Linked DNA regions of Oreochromis niloticus. The protein of the gene in region 3 interacts with the protein of the main gene of each other region in a pairwise test. Links are inferred from orthologs where the notes say so. Each region holds a gene or a part of one and is shown on either strand. Other genes may lie near its edges. The genes, in order: pard6gb, pard6b and prkci.

Region 1 (7,692 bases), on a different chromosome or scaffold from region 3:
TTTTATATGTACGCAAACGCGCGTTGCAACTTCTTATCTGGTGCGCGTCTTTTATTTTGACAGCAAATGTGCACATGCTGACCACTTATGTGCACCCCTGGTTATTTGGCATACGATTATTAAAAAGGGAGTGCACCTAAAGGCCATGTTTGCTTCTGCTTAACAAATTATTTAGACATTTTTTTTGGTTTAAAGAAAGTAATCACATAACAAAAATGCCTGCTCAAATGTTCAACTGCGCCCAAAGACACTCAAAAGCTACTTTTGGGGGCTTCCTTAATCACAAAAAGGTCACCGCAGCGACCAGTTGCATGCGTTTGACTTGGGAGATTTTTTTTTTTTCCCTCCTGTTGCAACCAAAGAAGCGATTTGCGTCTCCGTCTGCAATTGAACCGGCATCTTTCTCCTATCAGAGGTAGTTTCGAGTCATACAAAAACTCCACGTACTGAGAGAGAACTCCATGTTTAATAAAGTGGCTGTAGGAACCAACAGTAACTATTACAACTTTACAGTAACTACGTAGAGGAAATGAAAACCTGTTTGTCACGGCACAAGTTTACACAACTATATAAAAACAAAACAAATGTGAATGCGAGGATGATTCGAGTCTGTAAATAAGTCGTTTGGCTTTGGATATTTCTTGTTTCTTTATTGTTATGGAAACATATCTGTATCTAATGAGAAGGCAGGAAGCCTGTATAAATTTTAGTGTGTATTTTTTTGTTTTGTTCGCGTTTACATGAGAAGGTAAGTCTTGTTGAGTGTTACACAATTTATGAGTCCCAAACCTCATCAATGGGTCTTGTTTATGTTTTATAACTTTTATTTCATTTCATATTCTGTGTATTACTTAAAAATTTAACTACTGTTACTCATTAAAGTAAAGTATTAGGTTACATTTACAGCACGCTTTTAGTGCCAGTGTTGGCAGTCAGGAAAATCTCATTCTACAGGAAAGAAAGAGCAAGATAACTTTATCTTATTGGATAAAACAAACACTGACAAAGTTTAACTTTGAGGACATAATCTGCAGTTTGAAAATGATGATAGATTGCATTACATATTACTGCAACACTCAGAACATTGCAAAATGTTTAAAACTGCAATAATATTGTAATGCGACCAAAGTATTGTGAGGATATCGTATCTTTATTTACTACTAAATGATGAACTGAATTACGTGTAGCTGATCCTGCTCCTCTGTGCCTTCAGAGGCCCAGACTGTGGCAGAGCTATGTAACAGATAAGATTTCCCTTTACAGGTATTCAAATGTCCTCAACTGTCAGTGTGCTTTAAAAGACCCACAACAGTCACTTTCTCTCCAAATCATCAGCTTTCTTTCATCAACACGCTTAATTTCTTCACTGAGGGAGATGAGGGAACATGAGGGAACATGAGGGAAGGGTGTTAGAGCTCCCAACACACCCCAAACGGATCAAAACAAAACACAACCTGACGAAGTAGAACAAAATGTGAAACTGCTTAAAGTGACGTGACGGAGAGGGATGAGTCACATCTGATCCAAAAGTGGAAACGTGTGACGTCGTGGCATGACGGTGTGCCGTGGTGACGCCGTGGACCTGTCTGTTCTAGCCACAGAGCTCCTGGCGTGCCAGTCCCACCCACAAACAATCTGCGGCAGCCACGGAGTGACCACTCCTGTCTCTGTGGAACAAACCCTGCAGCAAAAAAAAGGCAAAACAACAAAAAGAACAAAAAACCCACCTACACACACACAAACACTACTCCCCTTTTTTGGCCGTTTCTGTGTAAGTACATGCTCACCCACCTGTCACCATCAGAGCATCTGTGCTCCATCTGTCCACCACCCCACTGAAACTGGGCGGCCAAAAGGTGGAAACAACTCAGGAGTGAATGAGTCACCTTTTGCACCACTTGCCCATCTCTCCCTTTAACCCTCAGGTGTGAACACATGCGAATACTCACAAATAAATAAATCAGAAACACTGGATTAGAATGCAGGTCACCAGCAATCATTGTGGGGTTCACAAGTGATGAGTGTCAGCTGGTAGTTCTTCACAGAGCCCACACAAACTGTCACTTGTGTAATAAAAAAACAAAACAAAAATAAAACTCTTCCTCTACAGTATAAACTTAAATAAGAACCGCATAGCTCATGTGGATGTATTGTGTACGTGTTGAGATGAAAAGCTTCATAAATCAGGGCACTCCATTGAGACATAACACTTGAAATCTTGGCAATCCACTTGATGTTTGTGTGTCCATTAGTCTGTCAGCGTTTAAAAAAATGATCCAAAACAAAGAGCTAGGCTGATACTGTGTAGCAAGACAAAAACTCAGTGCAACTAATGCAACGTCTGATTTTAACAGGTGGAAACTTTGTTGCTGTAGGAAATCTGGAGAACTAGGTGCTTCAAAAACAACCCCGTTACCCACCTACCCAGCCCCCCTCCATCAACCACCCACAGCAGCATCGGGATAGAAAAAGTCAAATCAGCACAATCTGGATCGGAAGTAAGAAGCAAACAATCACTGCAAATGAGAGAAACATCCAGAACCTGTAACTTTCCCCGCACAACTCACGGGGAAAAAAGCGGAAATAGTTATGTGGCGTAGGCTGCACACCGTCCGACCAACTCCGGCTCCGTGACGGGACAGCCATGTGAACATTTATCATTATTATTATTATTTTAATCCCCCCGAATCCTATCCACCAACGCCACCACCAAGCAGGGCTTTCAAGTTTCCACTCACCTTGCTTTTCACTTCCACAGCGTTGCAGTTAGGATTTCGCAGAGGTTGCGACTTATTAAAGCTCCGATTCATTTTTTTCCCGTTTGAAGGAAAAAAAAAAAAAGAAAAAAAAAAGTTCAGCCGCCTTTGCCCACAGAGAGAGGGGCTCTGGTCCCGGGCTTTCTGCTCTAAAAAATTCTCCCTGTTCGCTTCTTCCACAGAACTTGGTGTTTCTTTCACCTCCCCGACTTCTTTTTTCTTTTCTCAGTGCGCTCCGACAGACATGAGGGAGGACTTCACGAGAGAGCAGGAGGTGTGCGACTCGCCGCGTTGACTTGAGGAGTGTGAGTTAAGTTTTGAAAATGACATCAGCCCTCTTAAAAAAAACGGGATTCTGGGATGCATTCACGTACCGCACGAAATCCCCAACTCCCTCAGGCGGGATCTCTTTGTATCCTTACTGTAGTCAGTAAAGGCTGAGTAAATAACAGCTACTACTGATGATGGATTAAGGTTTAAGAATGTATGCTATCGCAAAACAAACAAACAAAACACACACAAATATTTATAACAATGACAACTTGATATGTATTATGTCCTGTTAATAAAATGATCATATTAAATCAGCCGTGTTTAGTCGTCTTTTGATGCATATGAAGCAAAAATGAAGCAAAAATAATTAAACTAAAATATATATTTTTTTTAAATCTCAAAAGTAGGCAGACTTCCTCTAACCCCGCCCTGTCCAATTTATAGCCTAATATATTCAGAGTAAAAAAAAAAAGAGTGGTCTTTCCGGTTAGTTGGTGTATTTCCAGGATCTGTGAAGGCAGCACTGCGCACGCTGGACCTCCGAGACACCAGAGGACGCGATTTTCTAAGCATTTTTAAAAACGGTCTGTATTTAAATGATTGAATTCATTGATCCCAACAAGGTGGTGTAAGCCTACAAACCCTGTGGTGTGGAACATATATCTTTTAATATAAAAAAATCCCCCAACAACAACATAAATTGGGTTTAAGAGTTCAGTTTACAATCATTACCTCTGTAAGTGAAGGTGAAGCGTGAGCCACTGGGAACTCAAACACATAAAAACACCATAGTGTGAAGAAAACAGCCACATATCTTTATATTTAACCATCTGCTGTAGCCTGCTCAACTTTTCAGATACATAACAGGTGAAGATTTACTTGTATTTTTACATTGTCTTCATAATATGGAGTTAAATGTGGCCTATGATACCATTAAGTCTTATTTTTGTGATCTTTTACAGACCATAAAACCATCTTTTTATCCAGGTTACACAGGATTTGTAACAAGACCTGCCACCCAACTTGGGTGGCCAAGAGGAAGCTATTCTTCTGTCAGCAGAGAGCTTCAAAGTGCACCAGGTAAACATCTCTAATTGGCCCTGGAACGTGATAATCTCACACCCCCTCCTTTGTGAGGTATAGGCATCCAGAGCCATTCAACCTGAACCAAAAACCTCACAGCGTAAGAACCAGCTGATCGGGAATATTCATTTTCAGCTGGGTTAATTAGCATCCATGACCGCAATCCTGCTTGACAGCATTCCTGGGCCCCTGAAGCTGGCTGTGCACAACAGCTGCAGGCTGCATGCCCCCCCGTCCACACACACACACACACACACACACACACACACACACACACACACACACCCTCTCAGTAGCTGAAAGTGCTGCTGGTTTACTCTCTTCAGGAATGTGTTGACTGCTTACAAACAGAACCCAAACCCAGGTTTCACTGCGATCCTGCAGCACAGACACTGCAGTGCTCCTTATGTGACTGCATGCAGGGATAGTTACGCTGTAGTAGATTTAGTGTGTAAATGTTTATCAACTGTAGTCAGAACTACATCTGATGGGTGCCCGCAATCAAGTTAGGACTTATTAGCATGAAAAAGAAGAGACGGTGATTTTTGTGTGTTTCTGCAACATCTGATGCTCGTCATATTTGCTGGTAGTTAATAATTAATGAAATATTGTAAGGTGAATGAGGTGGTGCTCTATATAACTAGCGTTAAGAAAACGAGTAGTTAAGCTTATTGCGCCCACTAACGGCCGATGTGTGGTATTGTTTTAATGACTTTAACAGTGCAACAGTTACAGCGTGACTTAGTCAGTGTGCTTTAGTAAATTCAAAAATCTGCATATGTTTTAACTGAATTATGGTGGAAAAATACTGACCTTCCTCTACATAAAGTTAAATCTTTTACATTTTTCACCATCTGGGCCTGAATCATCACAGGTGATTGCCATAAACCTACCATAAGGAAAGATGGATAGATGTTTTTGTTGTGTGTCAATCAGAAGAATTAATTCCAATGTTCCCTGGTTGCCAAAACTTGGAAGAACGTCCATCCATTTCCATAATTAGCATCTGAATCAGAATACTTTAATAACCTCAGAGGAAATTATGTGGTCACAGTTGATCCAATAGGAACTAACTAAACTAAATAGAATAATACAATATATTACAGAATATAACAAAATCGCTCTAATAAATACAAATAGCTCTAATCATAAATATCCCTGTATATTACACGAAATTACATATATATGGGTGACACTGAGGTGCCCCTTTTGTTATATTAATTGTAACTTTTCTTTGTAGAGGATGTGATATTAAGGGTGTGCAACTATTGCAGTGTGTACTTGTGTAGATGGAGGAGTTGTACAGAGTGATGGCCATAGGAAGAAATGACTTCCTGTGTCATTCAGTGGTGCATTTGGGTAACGCGCTCCTGTGACTGACCAACACATCATGGAGTCGATGAGAGTTTATTGTCCAGTATTGTATCTATCTTGGACAACAACCACCTCTCTGACACCACCTTGAGTCCAGCTCCATCCCTACAATGCTACTGGTCTTACGGATCAATTTATTGAGTCTGTTGTCATCCACGACACTCAACCTGCTGCTCCGGCATGCAACCGCTGGTGTCCTAGGGAAAAAAGCAGAGCACATCTTGGTCAGGTTGCTGATCTGCTGCAGGGCGCTTGGAAGAACGATCTAACACGAGTAAAAATGACACGGTCTGAAGGTTTAGGGATGTTGTCTTGCCACGAACTATTGTGGATGCTGTCAGTGAAGGTAGGTTTTCAGTTTTTCTGTTTGTCATCAACATTACACAAAAAGTAAATGTCATGAAACTTCATTGAGCAGTAGTGGAGCATGGGCAAAGGAAGATCTCACTAAATTTTAGTGTTGGCCCACATTGCCTCTTTAAAACTGCAGTATAGTGTATTGGCGTTGGCAGGGGAACCCCCTTTTAGTTTTCTGTGCAACTAAAGTATCTTGGCTTGAAGATATTTATTTTCTTCTTGTCTCAAAAGCCAGGCAATCAATTAGGAGAGAAAGAGACAAAGGGGGATGCACATCTACTTTAATCAGCTATCTTGCAGCAAAGCCATTTACATGATTTTTCTTTTTCTGTAGATGGTGGGGCAACATCCAGACTTTCTTTTAAATATAAAACTTTATGCAACATCAAAGAGAATGAATGGGTTTTTTTAAAACATAGATTTTCATCTCACATCTTCAATGATTTTACAAGAATACTGTATTTGTCATCAAGGAAACAAAACAAAGCCATAACTCATAAAGAAGCTTCAATCACTAGTATGTTCTTTGAAATGGAAGTTATAAGGCTTTCATGATCAATGAGGATTACAAGGCAAACATATAAATTTACTCTGGACGTGAATAAAAATAAAATAAAACCACATCAAAGGCGCTGACTACACACAAGTAATCAATCAGCTCGATACAGACAAAACCAACTAGGATGTTGGCTGAGCAAAGCCATCCAATACTCTATTCAGAATGAGTCTAAATCTATTATAGTTATCTCAAAACACGACAAGGGGGTCTGCCACTGCTTTGGGACTGATCAGCAGTGAGATGAGTCTATATACCAACAAACAGCAGTGTCCAGAGGCCCCGAGCCACCCCTTATTTCTTGATATTTTGCTGGAAAAATAGGAAATATGTGCCGTGATTTATTTAAACAAGTGTACATGGAAATATAGTGTATAAGTGGAAAACAGACTTTGTATTCTAACAAGCTTGGAAGTCAATATTTGGTATTCCCAACTTTATTCTTCACCACAGCCTGAACTTTTTTTGACAGGCTTTCTAGTAATTTCTTTAATAAATCTCCAGGAATAGTTATCCAGGCTTCTTGAAGGACATTCAAAGTTCTTCTTTGGATTTTGGGTGTCATCTGTTATGTCTCTTGTCAAGATGATCCCACACTGCTTCAATAATGTTGAGCTCTGGGGAGGCCAATCCATGGTTGATAGTGTTGTATTGTGTGTTTTTCTATCCAGGTGTGTTTTTATGGCATTGGCAGTGTGTTTTGGATCATTGTCATGCTGAAAAATGAAACTGTTACCAACCAGACACTTGAAATGCAGCACCAAATGATGACAGAGCCTCCACCATGTTTTAGAGATGGTTGCAGACCTCTCTCCTGACGTCCTTGATACATAATGACAATGATTTGAATCAAAAATATAAAATTTGGATTAATTATTCCGTAAGACCTGTTGCCACTGATTAACAGAACGCAGTTCATCTCACTGATTCATGTCAGTGATAAGTGGCTTGGAATGTTTTGGAAGCAAAATAGAAAGAAAAAACAAAAAGGTGGTTCAAGGCTTTTGTACAGTCCTGTATGTTAACCAGATTTTTGGTACAATAAGCAAGTGGCTGTAATGGTGACAGTGAAATATTCAATCTTAATTGTGTTTATGGTTGATTTAATTGCATATTCTTCTTTTTAGTGAACAAAAAAACAAACTAGGACAGACTGGATTGAATGGATAAGATGAGCTGCACGTTACTATCGTGCGAGATCAATCAATTGGAGACCAGAACAACAAACGACGGAGGCACCAGACAAGTGCAATCAAACGATGAGTTTATTAACACCGGAGAGGAAACATCAGC
Region 2 (7,616 bases), on a different chromosome or scaffold from region 3:
CCCACATTCAACAGGTCACATTTAGCAACTTAGTGATTAGGAATACACTCCAAAATCAAAGGAGAGGTTAAACCTTTGTACGTATACTCTGACAGAAACATGTTTATGTAATCACTATGGATACACTGATTGTGAAATTATAGGCCAACAGCAGCATTTTGTTTCCAAATCTACTTCTTTCCCTTTTGTTGTGCTTATACCTCATTTACTCCATGATAACAAAAAAAAAAAAAGAAAGAAACAACTGACCCCATTTAAAGTCTTTCAGCTTTTTGTAACACAATCTTTGAACACTCAGCTCGTGTGAAATCTTGAAGACAGAACATATTAATGTTGACCACTGACATCAGTAAATGCCATGTTAATTGGCAATATGCCAATATCAGACACCAAGGCTGGTATAGTAAGACCTGCAGTAATCATACACATGAAATAAAGGTAAGCCATACTTGTGAGCATGAATTTAGAGCAGCCACAACTTATTCCTTTATTAGCTAAAGATTAAAAACTTATCTACAAGGGGAACTGCAAAAGCACAGCAATTATGGCAGGAACATTGGTAATGATTACACCAGAGCCAGCAAAGGAAGTTAGAAACTGCAGCAGCAGTGTTTACAGAAACACTGTTCGACAGCAGCACTGTCAAACTTGAAACCCGTATTTCCAAAACAGTCAGACACGTAAAAAAACAACTCCCATGCAGCTACCGAGCTGCAATACAAAACAGCCTACTGGACAAACTCAAAGTGAACTCCATTAGTCTACTCTTGTTGTTTTGCTCAGCTCTTATAGTGAACTCCTCATTTCAAGTGCATTCTTCCTCTCAACAAGCCCCCTAACCTTAGCTTAGTTAACTAGAAATCAATAAGGAAAAAAAATAGAGGCCAGTGGTTTAGCATTTACCATTTAGTTTGTTTCGCTGAACATGGCAACATACAACAAGTAGCCTAAAAACTTACAATGTAAAGTGACACTTAAGTATTTATAACTCTGTCACAGCTATAGTCAATAGCCTATCACATATTTCTAAGCTGTGCTTTTCAATGCTAATGACTGTATTTGCATTTCCAATGCAAAGCAGATGTAACCAAGCAAACAAATGAAAACTTGGGACTCTTTGTCCAAACACTTCCTCTGTGCATACCTTTCCTCTGGAGGAACAGCCTGAGTAGAGGGTTAGCTGTGGAGATGGCCTTGTGGTAATTGTCGTCATTGTTGATGGGCAGCAGGTCACCGTGCACGTCAGCATAGCCCACCAACAGCTCCACGTTGGGGATGCGATGCACATGCTGCAGGAGACCGTAGAACTCGTCGAAGCGGCCTGGCTTGGACCGATCCAGAGAGAACCGACGAAACTCTGCACCAAACTGGGATGGGGCAGAAAGGCGTTCACATGTGATTGCAAATGAACACACAAATACACACAGAGGTGTGACGTATGGCCGAAACCAGGGTATGAAACAGTGCTTGATAAGCCTACTTTGTACTGATGCGTAAGCCAAAGCACACCACGTGTGGTAAATTATTCACGTGTTTTGTGTATCTCTAGGCTTGCAGATTAAAGCTTTTATCAAGCTACCACACAGCGTATTTATCATGCAGCTATTAGAAAGACAGTGTGCTTTCAGCATATGTACAATCACCACAAACGTGTTGCTGGTTTACCCATTTAAGCCCGTGGGCTGACTGGATCAATGGCTGCAGATGCCTAATCTTTAGGCAGCTCTGTAGTTGAGACAGAGCACAATGCCTCATTGGTAGTGCTAGTGAGAGGTACCGGCTGTTGTGGTTACTGTTGCTCAGCACTGACAAAAGATGATCTCCCAGCTTAATCAGTTATTTTATGCATCAATGCAAAGCAGAGTTAATTTAATAAGTGGTTGGGGACATAAGGAAGATAATCTTAACTCAGAAGAGTCAAAAAACTTAAAAATCCCGGGATAGCTGATTAAATAATAATAATAGCTATAGTAACTAATCTAGGTAAAGTATGAGGAAGGCAAAAAATGAGTGTTGCAGCTGAAAATATTTGACAGCTTGTGTCAACGCGTCCAAAAACGTCTAGAACAATATAGTCATTATTCATTACACTTATGTGTGGTCATGCCTCAGCAGGGCGCGGATGGAGCCACGAGCCTGACGCAGGCCGTGTGACACCTGTAACCGCAGGCAAATAACACGACAGGCAACGACTGACACCTTTAACCGACGTAATTTGACATAAACTTTTGTTAATTTGAGCAAACTTTCCACGCAGATTAAATTAAGTTAAAGAGTTGACTCAAACTTGAAGTCAGTACTCGGTAAACGAGTAGGAGAGTACGGCGGAGAAGGCTGTGACAGGTGACACTGGCTCACTGCGCAGTCAGCTGACAAAAACCCTCCACCTTGCCACAAACTAGCTAGCCTTTAGACGTAAAACGACCAAAAAACTACGCCACGGTTACCAATAAAGTTTTAAGAATTGTAACCAAACACCCGGGTGGTCACAGTGAAAAACAAAACAAAAAAACCGTTAGCTCCTCTTAAAGTTTATAAGCCTTGCTTCATAATAACCCGCTATCAAGCCACTTTAGCAGGCTAAATTAGCAAGAGTGGATTTAATGAGGACGAAGGTTGTCGGGAGTACAAACACTGGAAGGATACCTGACAAATAAGTGTCCGTACCCACCTTGCTCTTCACCTCCACTGCATTCAGAGAACGGCTGCTCGGCACTCGGTGGTTTTTGTTCATGTTTCTCTAGCAGCGGGACCGCCGCCAAAGCACTCACACTCTCTCCCTGCTCCTGCCGCCGCTGCCAATGTCTATCCACAAACCCCGTGTGTCCACCAGTTGTTTTTAATGTTTTAGTTGTGGGGTGTTTCAGTCGCACAGACTACACCGCGACTTCTTGACGTCCGCCGGTATGAGTGGTCCCTCCACAGAATGCGACAGAGGCTGTCAATCAGCCAGCTTCAGCTCGTAAACTTGTCTCCTCTCATACTTGCCGCTGACACCGTAGCTACAGCCCCACAGCGTACCGTCTCTGGCTTACCTCTGCCTGCGACTCTCTCTCCCTGCCCGTACCCGGAGAGCCGGAGATACGGGACTTCAAAATAAAAGGCGTGGCATTTATAATACTCTGTGGCTTCAAAATAAGAGCCAGCTTCCACCTCACCAGCATTAGCCCACTCTGTCCTGGCACGGTGTGGCAACCATGCTCCAAATAGCTCGAACAATAATGAACAGTAATGCCTCATTTTTTGTTTTTAATGTCATTCATAAAAAAAAAAAAAACTATTTTAAGTGTGTGTGTGTGTGTGGGGGGGTGTTTGCCATCATGTTAACTGAAGCACTGATGCACTTAGAGTTGTACTTTCTCACTCTAATAACGTAATGATGACCATATCTCTAAAAACCCTAAATTAAAATCGTTTGCATTAACTATTTAAACAGTTATACTGTACCCAGTAAAAACTAATAGTGTAACAGAGATTTTATGATAGTTGAATGAAGTGTTACCTGCGTATGTAGAATTCATATGGGTACAAAAAATAAACTGTAGTTCCTGCTCTGGCTACATCTTGTGAGTGTTTTAATTTTATAGTGACATCTTATGGCCAAAACCAATATATACCTGCTGCAGCTGCTGGCTACCTGCCCGGTAAATGCAGATACTTAACCCTTTCAAACTCGATGCCTTCATGGTGACCCAGACCAAGAATTCCATCATAATAAATGTCTACAAGGTTTTGTTGTTGTAGACATATTAATTTACAATGTATAAACAGCCCATCTGACGTTATTAAATGGCTTATTGATGCGTAATTATTGTTTCCAAGACAAGGCATCGCGTAGTTTTTACATTTTACAACATTCATCTTTGGAGAAGGGCATCTCTCACACAATGCCATGTCCTTTTTTTTACATAAGACATAAAAACATGTTAGAAATAATTATTTAATTATATTTAATTGAAAGTGAAACTGGCATTCTGGAACTTTGGAATTTATTGTATAAACAGATAAAGAACTTTTTTAGCTGAATACAGCAAAAGGAATCTTAGCAGGGTTATTATCAGTGAGTGAAAACGACTAAAATATTCCTTTAAAGTTACTTTACAGAGTAACATTTTGACTATGAATAAAATCCTAAAATCCTTCTCTCTTTAAAAAAAAACCAAACAAACAAAAAAGCAACAACTTTAGAAGTCAGATTTAGTTGGTCAAATAACAAGAAAAATGCATCCCTCTGCACCGTCACTTTGACATTTTATATGAAAATCGAGATGTATTTGTTGAGTAAATAAAACATAACGCTAAAATTCCATTGATCAAAATTTCAGCTAAAAGCACTCACTTTAGTTCAGAAAATGAAAAAAATTGATAAGTTGCACAGTTGTACTAAGCATGTAACAAACTCACAGCTCGACGTTTGTTCACATATTACTTGTAGACACTAGAGGGAGACAGAGACTGCGAAGGGAGATGCATGTCCTTGTTTTAAAAACTACAAATGTCTCGATTTGAAGATGAAATATACACATATTTGACTGAGCGCAGAAAGCAGCAATGATTTATCTTCCTCTGAAAGACACAAAACACAACAGTTTTTTTTTTCAAAGCTTATACGTGTGTAGAAAATAGTCGGAGTTCCTCCTTCTGTATAATATCCTGCTTCATGCAGGCAAAGGATTCTTCACATGACTGGAAAACAGAAGGCAGACACAGGGTAGCTTATGTTGATACAGTCATGTGCTTTTCATTACAGATGGTGTTCCACTAAAACAACAAAAAAATCAAAATCAAAATTATTGAAACATGGGTTTTCTTCTTTTGCACATTTGTAACCTCATTAGACCCATCATAGGTTTAACCATATACATATTCCCACACAAGTGAGAGCAGCTACCTAAGTTTTACTCTCACACTGTCTGTATATCTTGTTAGTAGTGCTGCAGCCTCATTTTGCCTTAATTCTTTGTGTCTTTGTTTCAAAAAGGTCCAGAAACATTCCTCAGAGATGTTGGTCCACATTGAACTGAGCACATCCCAGAGGTGCTCTATTGGACTGGGAACTGGTGACAGGCGAGGCCATTTGAGTACAGTGACCTCACTGCCAGGTTCAACAAGCCAGTTTGATATAATTGAAACTTTGTAATGTGGAGCATTATCCTTTTGGAACCAGTCATCAGAAGATGGGTACACTGTGGCCATGAAGGGATGGTCATCAAAAACATTCAGGGAGGCTGTGGTATTTAAATAATGCTCAGCTGGAGCTAAGGGGCCTAAAGTGCACCAAGAAAACCCCCCACACACGATTACATCACTACAGTCAGCAGACTGAACCACTGATCCACAGCAGAATGGATCCATGCTTTCATGTCATTTACACAACATTTGTGATCCTACCATCTGAACTTTTCACCAGAAATCATGGTTCATAGACCAGATAATGTTTTTTTGTTTTGTTTTTTTTTTACAATGAAAACGTGCAAACTGTATCCTCCATTACCTGTTCTTAGCTGACATGAGTTTGTGGTCTTCTGCTGCAATAGTCCATCCAGGTCCAATGTGTTGTGCATTCATAGATGCTCTTCTGCAAACCTTGGTTGTAGCAAGTGGTTATATTTAAGTTCCTATCTCCTTCCTACCACCTTGAAACAGTGCTGTGCTGTGTCTTGGGTCTCAAAGAGACCATTTAGGTTATTTAAATGTATTCTTAGCCACTGAGTCACACTGCATTACTGAAATACTGTGTGACTACATGTGTTCTGATGACCTGGTTTGACCTCTGATGTTTTAGCACACAAAAGATTGAAAACAGGATGAAGCCATAAGCAGGTTACGAGGCTAATAACAGTCCTGTGTGTTTCCTTCTTGTAGAGGGTCTGTCTGTGTAACAAGAAGATGTGATAGAGGATGATGGAAGTGAAAAGAGAGAGAGGAGATAATGGAGGTTACCCTGAGGGTGGTGAGAAGAATGAGGAGAGTAAAGTAATTGTAGACTTCAATTTGATGACAAATGTGGAGAGAAGTCTGCTCACTTCTGAGCATATTGTAGATGTCACAGTCCCTGGGTTTCTTGGACTTTGAGAATCAAACATTGAACATCTAAAATAAGGGATTTTTTTTTAAACTGTTTATTCCTTGATTTTTATTTATGCAGAGCTTTTATGTGTTAGTTCCAGTTTGCATTTTCCCCTCATTGTTCCCTGACTCACCCTCCTGTCAGTTCCCCCTAAGTTTTGTCATGTATCCGTATAACCCTGTTTTATTTGATAGTTGCTTGACTTTAGTGTTTTGTGTTTAATTTGACTTCCTGCCTCCTGTCTTATTGTCTATGATTATTTTCACCTGTGTCCTGCTACCCTCCAGCTCCAGTTCCCTGATTACACTTTCATAAGTTTTGCACATACACTCTAAAAATTAATTCAGAGGCTTAGTAAATATCACTATAAATATAAGTTAGATGAACCTGATAAAATCTATGAATATCCTTTTAGTAATTATTTGAGTTTCATAAGTTGAAATAAACGTCTAAAATGTTAACGTATGTGTTTGTGTTAAATTAAGGTATTTATTTACATTTATCTCAGACAAAAAATTCAGTATGTGGTTCATGGAATACCTTCTTTGCATGTACTTAATATTTTTGTTTAAAATTGAATCAAAATATTTGAGAAATAGGTATCTATACTCATCAGTATCTTGTACTAAAATCATTAATTATTCAAATCAATATTATTTATTGTCAGCAACTACAACTGAAAAGTGTAAGTAAAACACGATAACGTAGAGTAATTGAGTACCATGAGCCTTTTTCATTGTTTTGTTCATTTTGTCTGTGAAGGTTCTCAGTCATCCAGGTCATCGTAAAGGAATTTGCAAAGAAAAGCGTCTGGACTTCTTTGAGTTGCTTGAAGACGTTTCACCTCTCATCCGAGAAGCTTCTTCAGTTCTAAGGTCAAATGGCCGAGAGTCCCAGATTTAAACCCAGTGGGAGTATCCCCCCAAGGAGGGACAAAGGACCCCCTGGTGATCCTCTAATCACATGAGCCAAGGTGTGAAAGCGGGTGTGGTACCTAATCAGCCAGGGTTTCGGGTGAGCTCATTGTGAAACCTGGCCCCACCTTGTCATGTGAATTCCTGAGGTCAGATAGCCCAGGATGTGAGTGGGCGTTGCCAGGATGCCAATGTTCACATTTTGGACAGAGAGGACAGATGGTTTGAAAGAGGAGTGAAAGAGGCCATCTATGTCCACTGTGAGCGACCATCTTTGAACAGAGGCGGTGGTTTACGACACCAACTGTCTGCCATCTATAATCCAGTTTTGAGTTCCCTCCCCAGACGCCTTAACGTGCACTCACATCCTGGGCCATCTGACCTCAGGAATTCACATGACAAGGTGGGGCCAGGTTTCACAATGAGCTCACCTGAAACCCTGGCTGATTAGGTACCACACCCGCTTTCACACCTTGGCTCATGTGATTAGAGGATCACCAGGGGGTCCTTTGTCCCTCCTTGGGGGGATACTCCCACTGGGTTTAAATCTGGGACTCTCCACCATTTGACCTTAGAACTGAAGAAGCTTCTCGGATGAGAGGTGAAACGTCTTCAAGCAACTCAAAGAAGTC
Region 3 (7,235 bases):
TAAGTCCGCAGAGGAAAATGTTGAAATGTTATGCTCTACACAAAGCTCCATTCCCCATCTCTGGTCTTTTGTCACAGGAAATATTGCTGTTCTGAATGCCGATATGTCACACCGTGCGATGATGCTTGCTTAACAAGAGACTCAAACAAAAGATTTAATGCCCTATTTCAGCTTATTTATAAGATACTGTTCCCTATACAGCCAGTATGATTTGTTTTTTGTTTTTTTTCCTAACGGGTTTAACACAGGCCGCATGGACACAATGTTTTAGGTACATCTTTTAACTGCAGTGAGTTTTTTATTAAAAACGTCTTTTCTTCATTGTCATTTTTCTTCACTGCCTATGCAATTTAGGTTTGCAGAACCTATCCCAGCTTTCATGGGGCAAAAGAAAGAGTACACCTTGGACAGGTGACCAGGTCATCACAGGGCTAATACACCTACAGCCAATTTAGAATCACCTAACAAGCCCATCTTTGGACTGTGAAAGAAACCAGAATATCCAGAGATCCTACACACAAAGACCCCAGATGGCCGGCATGTTCGAATCCCGAACGTTCTTGCTGTGATCCTGTGACAGCACACCACCCTCCGACAGACTTAAACTTGGACTTGAGATCTGTGGACACTGTTTAAAAAGAAGCTAAACATCCAGCTGTGCAGTATTGCCTTTATTATTTCATCTAAGTGTACCACTTTAATTGTTGTATCCTATTTTATACTGTAAAGCACTTTTTGACTTTTGTTGTTGAAAAGCACTCGATAGACTAACTTTAATTATACTGTAATAACAGTAATATAAAAAATTTTTATGGCAGTCTGTTAACTGATCAAACAATGAACTGTTTTAATTCTGAAGTTTAACCACATACTCAGTTTTAGTGAAGCCATTTATACAATAAGGTGTATAAAGATGTGTTGTTGTGGTCTTATAAAAACAGTCAGTAAACAGCTTCGACATGACACTACTGCCTAATCTACTTTATTGATTTGGTGCATTACCAACTTAAACATCTTTCAGTCCTAACTTCTGCAGCGAAAGAAAACAACTCAGATGACATCCTGGCTTAATGCATCCCGATAGCAGAATCATGAGACCATTACACTGCAATCTCTCTTTGGCAGCATAGTTGAGATTCCTCAGCCGTCGCGTCAGAAATATTTCACATGCCTCGCTCTGCGAGATGCCACCCAATAATCAACACACATCACAGAGGTACTGAGGTGTGTCACACGGGTATGGCTGAAGTGACTTGCACTACACGTTTTTCAAGTCTTGGCTGGTCTCCAATCTCTTGACTCCATCAAACAGAGGCAAAGAAACAACTGAGTAATCAATTATTTCTATCATGACAAACAACTGTGAAACTAAATGCTTATTTAGCATGACAGAAACTCAAAGACAATGCCGTCCACCTGGATATGTCATACATCAATGGAAAATACAGAGATGTGTATTGTTCAGGTCTTGTGCTGAAGTCTGTTTGCTAAATGACTTGGCTTAGGCTTTCCTTTATGTAAATATTAGGTTATCGGGGGATTTTCCTCTATAGAAAACATGTTGGCACCTACCAGAGAGGTTCTGACATTCCACAAAGGAAAATCACCGAAACTTTGATAATACCTTCAAACAGCATCTTTGCTCTAAGCTTAAAATTGATTTTTGTTCAGCAAATGGCCACAAATAGCAAGAAAATGCTGGAAAGTTCAATAACACGGTCTCTTTATCCTTTTTTGAGCCAGGCAAAACTCTGATATGCTACAGTTCTGGCTACAATGTAAACAACAAAAGTTGATAAACTGTTCCTAAACTAGTCAGAAACATTATGATGGTTGCTGCTGTTTTTGAATTGTAAACCAAAAGATTTCCCACTGCCAGCTCATATGTCCTTTACTGTATGTGACACAGTTATAACCTGATTACAGCTTGATATTTTTTGAAACAAAATAAAAAACAAATCTTTAGATTTAATGACTTTTTCCTTAAGTTTACTACTATGAGTGAAACAAGCATTTATAATGAGCTCATCATATCTACATATAAATGTGGTACATGGTTTCGTTGTTGTAACTAATACCACGTAAGTACGGGATAACAGAGGCTGAAAATAATAGGTCTACATTACATTGTCTAACTGGAAAGGCTTGAACATCACTACTTAATTTGGATTTTTAAAGCTCCTCAGTTATTGTGAAAGCTCAACAATTGTTAGGATTTCCTGCTATCACATTGTGCATCCCTAAGTGAAACAACAGCGGTATTTTAGGACATGCTGTGCTGCCAGAGATAGGAGAAAATAAACGTAAAGACGATCAATAACATGACGCCAAATCCTTATCAACTTAGATAGCAACTGTTAGCCCGCTGCTGAGAGACTAGCTCCAAAGCTTTCGAGCTGAGACAGATTTAACTAATTTAAACCACATGACAACTTCGCTGTCTAGCTGAAAAATTTCTCAGATACCACCGAGACTGACTTTTCGACAGGCGGAGTGCCTGGACAGTGTCACCTGTCCGCCTGCCCAAGTTTACCGAAACCCGGTGGTTCCCAACATTAGCCAGCCGTTAGCTGACTGAGCTAGTGTTAGCCAGCTTATTAGCCGTCTTTCCAACTGGTGCTAGTTATTCCCAATTGGATATATTAAATACTAAAAGACATGGTTATTTCTTACCCTTTGTAGTAAGCTTTCACCCGGACTTGGTGGGAATTCTCGCCGGGGTGGGACATGGTGCCGTCCCGCAACGTCGGCATCATAAGCTCAGCCGTGGACAGTCCGACTCAACGATATCGTCCTTCCTATCTACCTTGCTTCCTACTTTGGCCCGGTACCACGCCCTAAACTGTTAATTTTTACGGTCCGTCGACAAACCAAATGAATAACGAATCAAGTGATGCCAAAAGCTGAGTATTTGCCCTTCTTTAGACAAACAAAAATAACAGGTAAAGTATAGAAAAACTTGCGGGGTCCGCCAAACAACTCCCCACTGCAAAGGCCTAACCACGGGCCAGTCCATTATCGGAATGTAACAGGGGGCGCGCATAACTTGGTATATTCGTTCCAACTAGAATTGTATTTTGTTAAAAGACAAAACACACAATTTCACATTGGTTTATTATTTATCGATTATAACAAACCAGTGGGATACGGTCAAAAACTCCGAAAGGTCAGATATAACTTTTGGCATCACTGGACTGTACCAACTCAAGCCTTTTATACAGGTAAGTGCTGCATTCGTGTTCAAACATTTAGGCTCGGAAAGGAAAGACCCTCGAGACATGTTGCGCATTCAAGCGCATTGGTTTGGAATGAACAACCAAATTGACCTGTGACAAAAACATGTGCTAAAAATACAATAAAATAAAATTTTACAAACGAGTTAGCTGCTGTGATGGGGTGTAAAATAACGTGAAGTGTTTTATCTTCTTTTAAATATAGAATATTCTTTCAATTCAACTTAAATGTTTACTATATTTACAAATAGACTGGGTACAATTATAAGGGCATGTATGAGGTATGCAGTAGGAGTGACAGATGACTTCAAGGTTAGGGTTGTCAAGATCCGTCAATTGGTTCATGCGCTCTCTCCGGGTTGGGCTGGGCAGGAATAATCCACCCTCCTGGGACGGAGTTCTGGATTTCTCGCTCCTCAACCAGTAGGACCACCTGTGCCTCATCAGACCTGTGCATTCCCCCAGAGTTCTGTGAAAGTCTTCTATTGTCTGAATTCCTTTTTGTGTGAAATAAGTCTTTATGAAAAAAGTCTAGGACGGTCTGTCTTGGTTTTGCTTTTGAGTTCACTAGTTTTGCTCGCCTATCAGGCCTGACAAGGGTGGAGCTACATCAGGGATCAGGTTGGAGCCCCTTCTTGTTTCTGATGCTGATGACAGGTTGATGGTAGTTTCTGTGAAATGTGTTTGTGATCTGTAGTTAGAGTAGGGAGCAGGTGGAAGAGAGCTTGGAGAGGTGGAGGTATGCCCTGGAGAGCAGAGGAACGTCGAGTGTCAGGGTTGATTTGTGACAGAAGGAAGGGTTTGCAAGATGAACGTGAGAACTGCTATGGTGTCTGGTTTGAAGATTGTAGTACTGACAAGGACAAGATGCAAAAACTAAGATTTTAAGCTTTTCACTGGGAGTGACAGGATTAGAAAGGAGTACATCAGAGGGACGGCTCAGGTCGAGCAGTCTGGAGACAAAGTCAAAGAGCTAAGGCTGAGATGGTTTGTGGATGTGCAGAAGCATAGTGGATATATTGGATAAAGGATGCTGAATATGTGGAGCTGTCAGGCAGGAGGAAACGAGGAAGCACACAGATGTGGATGTGGTAAAGGAGGGCATGGTTCATTCTCGTTTTCAAAAGTTAGCAGATTCGTCTCTGTAGCCTGGCTTTCTGGCAGCAAAGACTGCAATCATGGCTCTCCTGCAGTTTCGCATCATTCATCAGTTATTCATGATCTTCACAAGTAGCCTGTAGCTCAAAACATGTGCCAGCTGATGGATGCTTTTTTTTCAGACAAAAGACAAAAACAGAAGATAAAAATCTTTAAATCTTATGCAGATAAAGCAAAAAAGGAGACGGTAGGCTGTGACAAGATTATAATATAAGAGCTAACTTGAGCTTTTCTTTAATCTCGTTAGCAAAGGAGTTGGAAAGGTTACATGAAATCAGCATAAAGTGTCACATCATTTTTGTCTCTCACTGAGTTTGAGATTTGGTCACGGCATGAGACCAAATCTAATCATAGTAAAATAAACTCTATTCTGACGCAAAATATCACATTTTTACGTGTTTAAATGGCCTGATTGTATTTCCATAGGAAGTAAATTTCGTCTCTCGTCCCAACACAGTATTACGGGACTCGTCACCCAAGCTGCAAGCATAGCAACCGCGTAAAACGGAGCTTTAAAAGGATATTTATTTTAACCCAAACCACCCTCTGTTTGTAACAAAGTGAACTTGATTTTATTTTAAATATCCTAACCATAACAAAGTAATCTTTAATAAATACAGATAAAGTTTGAGGAAAACCGTGACGTCTCTGTGTGAGAAAGATTTGCACCAACCTCCGAGTGTGTGTGTCATTATTAGTAGTATGCTCCTTTCACGCACGTGGGTACACATCAGTAGGCCTACATATGTAGACTGGAGGTCGGGACTATTTCACGAACTCCTTGAAACTGAACTTGGGATTTCTTAAAAATTCATAGCTGCTGGGATGAAAAGCTTGTTCGGTTGTGCCAAAAAGTGATTGCCTGCCAAAAACTGATTTCCAATGTTTCCATGGGCTTTTTATGTGTAATATCATTACGTATGTTGCTAAATAGACTTTTTTGGTGAACGGGTATTACAAAGGGGTTATATATAAAATTTAAAAATTACCTGTTTCTCAAGTATCTTTAACTGTGTTATTGTACTTACATTATAATCAATCTGGTCCCTTTTATCCACTTAAAATATGTTTACAGAACTATTGTTGCATTTGTTGCAATTTCAGCCGTCCTCTTGGCCAGATTACTCTTAAAAGAGACATTTTTAAAGTCAACAAGAGTTTTTTTTTTAACTGCGAAAATAAAGGAAAAGTCACTGCCAAAACCTGATTGTGGCTTCTACCTTGTTACAGGAATGTTGTTTGTTGCTCAAGATGACTTGATATCATTCATGAGTGATACATTTGATATGTTTCACATATTATAGACCAACAAGTTATTTATAGCAGTTTAAATACAAGCAATCAGTTTTTGGCAAATACCGGAAATCAGTTTTTGGCAGACGATCACTTTTTGGCACAACACCTGGGATGATTTAATTCAGTTTGGGTCCTGGGGAGGGGGTCAGTCATTACAGGAAATGAAACTACTTTGACAAAGATGACAGGACTGAAGAAAACGAATGATGGGACTCCACAATTTGTTTTTAATTCAGTTCCGTTTTATTCAGCGCCAATTCACAATAACAGTCGCCTCAAGGGGCTTTAAAGACCCTATAAAGACCCCAAAAGACAGACGACCGCCTAGTAAGCACTTGGCGACAGTGGGAACACTGTAAAATCTAATTAGTTCCCAGAACTCAAAAAAATTATGGAAACTCGTTGCCTCAAAAAAATTGAGTAAAGCTTAGCTAAAAATGACTAAGTTAGGACAACTTATTTACTTTGAGTACTCTGTACAAGCTCATTTGTTCCCAGAACTCAAAAAAATTGGATCAAGTTTACGTAAGATGACCAAGTTAGGGCAACTTACTCATTTTGAGTACACTGTACAGCCTTGTTAGTTCCCAGAACTCAAAAAAATTATGGAAACTCGTTGCCTCAAAAAAACTAAGTAAAGCTTACTTAAGATGACTGTTAGGACAACTTATACATTGCAAGTATGCAGTATTAAGAATAACTTGATATTTCTGACTGTACAATACTATTTGTTTACCTACTGACAAACATTTCAAGTTTAACTAAATGAAAAAACAATTTGTGTAACCTGAATGTGATTAAAAATAATTAACAACACTTTTTGTAACGATGTTAAAAATCAGCCCAACTTTTATTTTCAAACACAACAAAGTACAACAGCCAACGTGATGGACACTGTTCTGCTGAACAACAAACAATTATATTGCCATCACTGTTTTAATCTTACAATGAAACAAAGTCTCAGATGTAATTATTCTGAAAATAAGTTTAGGTCTACCACAAGTTTGTTTTGTACTTACATTACTTATATAATCAAAACAAAATATTTGTTGTTCTGTCACAAGTGCAGTCTCTGATTTAAACAACACATTTGTTTTCCATTCCAACACATGAGCTGGAATGTTGTATTATTTTAAGGATGCTTGTTTCCAGTCCAGGCATTACTGCCTGAATGACTGTCATGGATCGAGGTGATCCAATGTAGGTGCAGAAGAAAGTCTTTAACTTCCCTTAAGTACAGTGGCAGTGGATGTGGGTTGGAGATGCAATGAGCTTGAACCTGCAGGCGACCATCTTCACACCATCTGTGACGGAGGACTCATCTCTCCTGTTGTCCTGCAAGCAAACAATCATATTTTTTGGAACATGAACTTAATTGCTTTCTTAAAACATTTTTTTCTGCATTCGGTATAGAACAGACTCCAATTTAGACGATCTCAGGCTCCCTCCCCACCGGAGAGGTGACATTCAATGTCCCACTTGTCAGTCTGCATAGCCCTGACCACCACCCAACATACAATAATGTCATGAAAGCATCATTTTAAAAAG

The links.
Region 1: the proteins of prkci (region 3) and pard6gb interact in binary tests that used the Homo sapiens proteins (3 or more experiments, as listed by UniProt). The link is inferred for Oreochromis niloticus from reciprocal best matches to the Homo sapiens genes PRKCI and PARD6G.
Region 2: the proteins of prkci (region 3) and pard6b interact in binary tests that used the Homo sapiens proteins (3 or more experiments, as listed by UniProt). The link is inferred for Oreochromis niloticus from reciprocal best matches to the Homo sapiens genes PRKCI and PARD6B.

Annotation. Positions count from the first base shown.
Region 1 is NC_031985.2:20,080,791-20,088,482, forward strand, and holds the start of pard6gb (par-6 family cell polarity regulator gamma b), read right to left. Parts: upstream 3,092-7,692; 5' UTR 2,811-3,091; coding exon 2,739-2,810; intron 1-2,738. UniProt on the Homo sapiens protein: Adapter protein involved in asymmetrical cell division and cell polarization processes. May play a role in the formation of epithelial tight junctions. The PARD6-PARD3 complex links GTP-bound Rho small GTPases to atypical protein kinase C proteins.
Region 2 is NC_031984.2:31,749,437-31,757,052, reverse strand, and holds the start of pard6b (partitioning defective 6 homolog beta), read right to left. Parts: upstream 3,094-7,616; 5' UTR 2,735-3,093; coding exon 2,672-2,734; intron 1,368-2,671; coding exon 1,145-1,367; intron 1-1,144. UniProt on the Homo sapiens protein: Adapter protein involved in asymmetrical cell division and cell polarization processes. Probably involved in formation of epithelial tight junctions.
Region 3 is NC_031982.2:22,788,923-22,796,157, forward strand, and holds the start of prkci (protein kinase C iota type), read right to left. Parts: upstream 3,022-7,235; 5' UTR 2,757-3,021; coding exon 2,674-2,756; intron 1-2,673.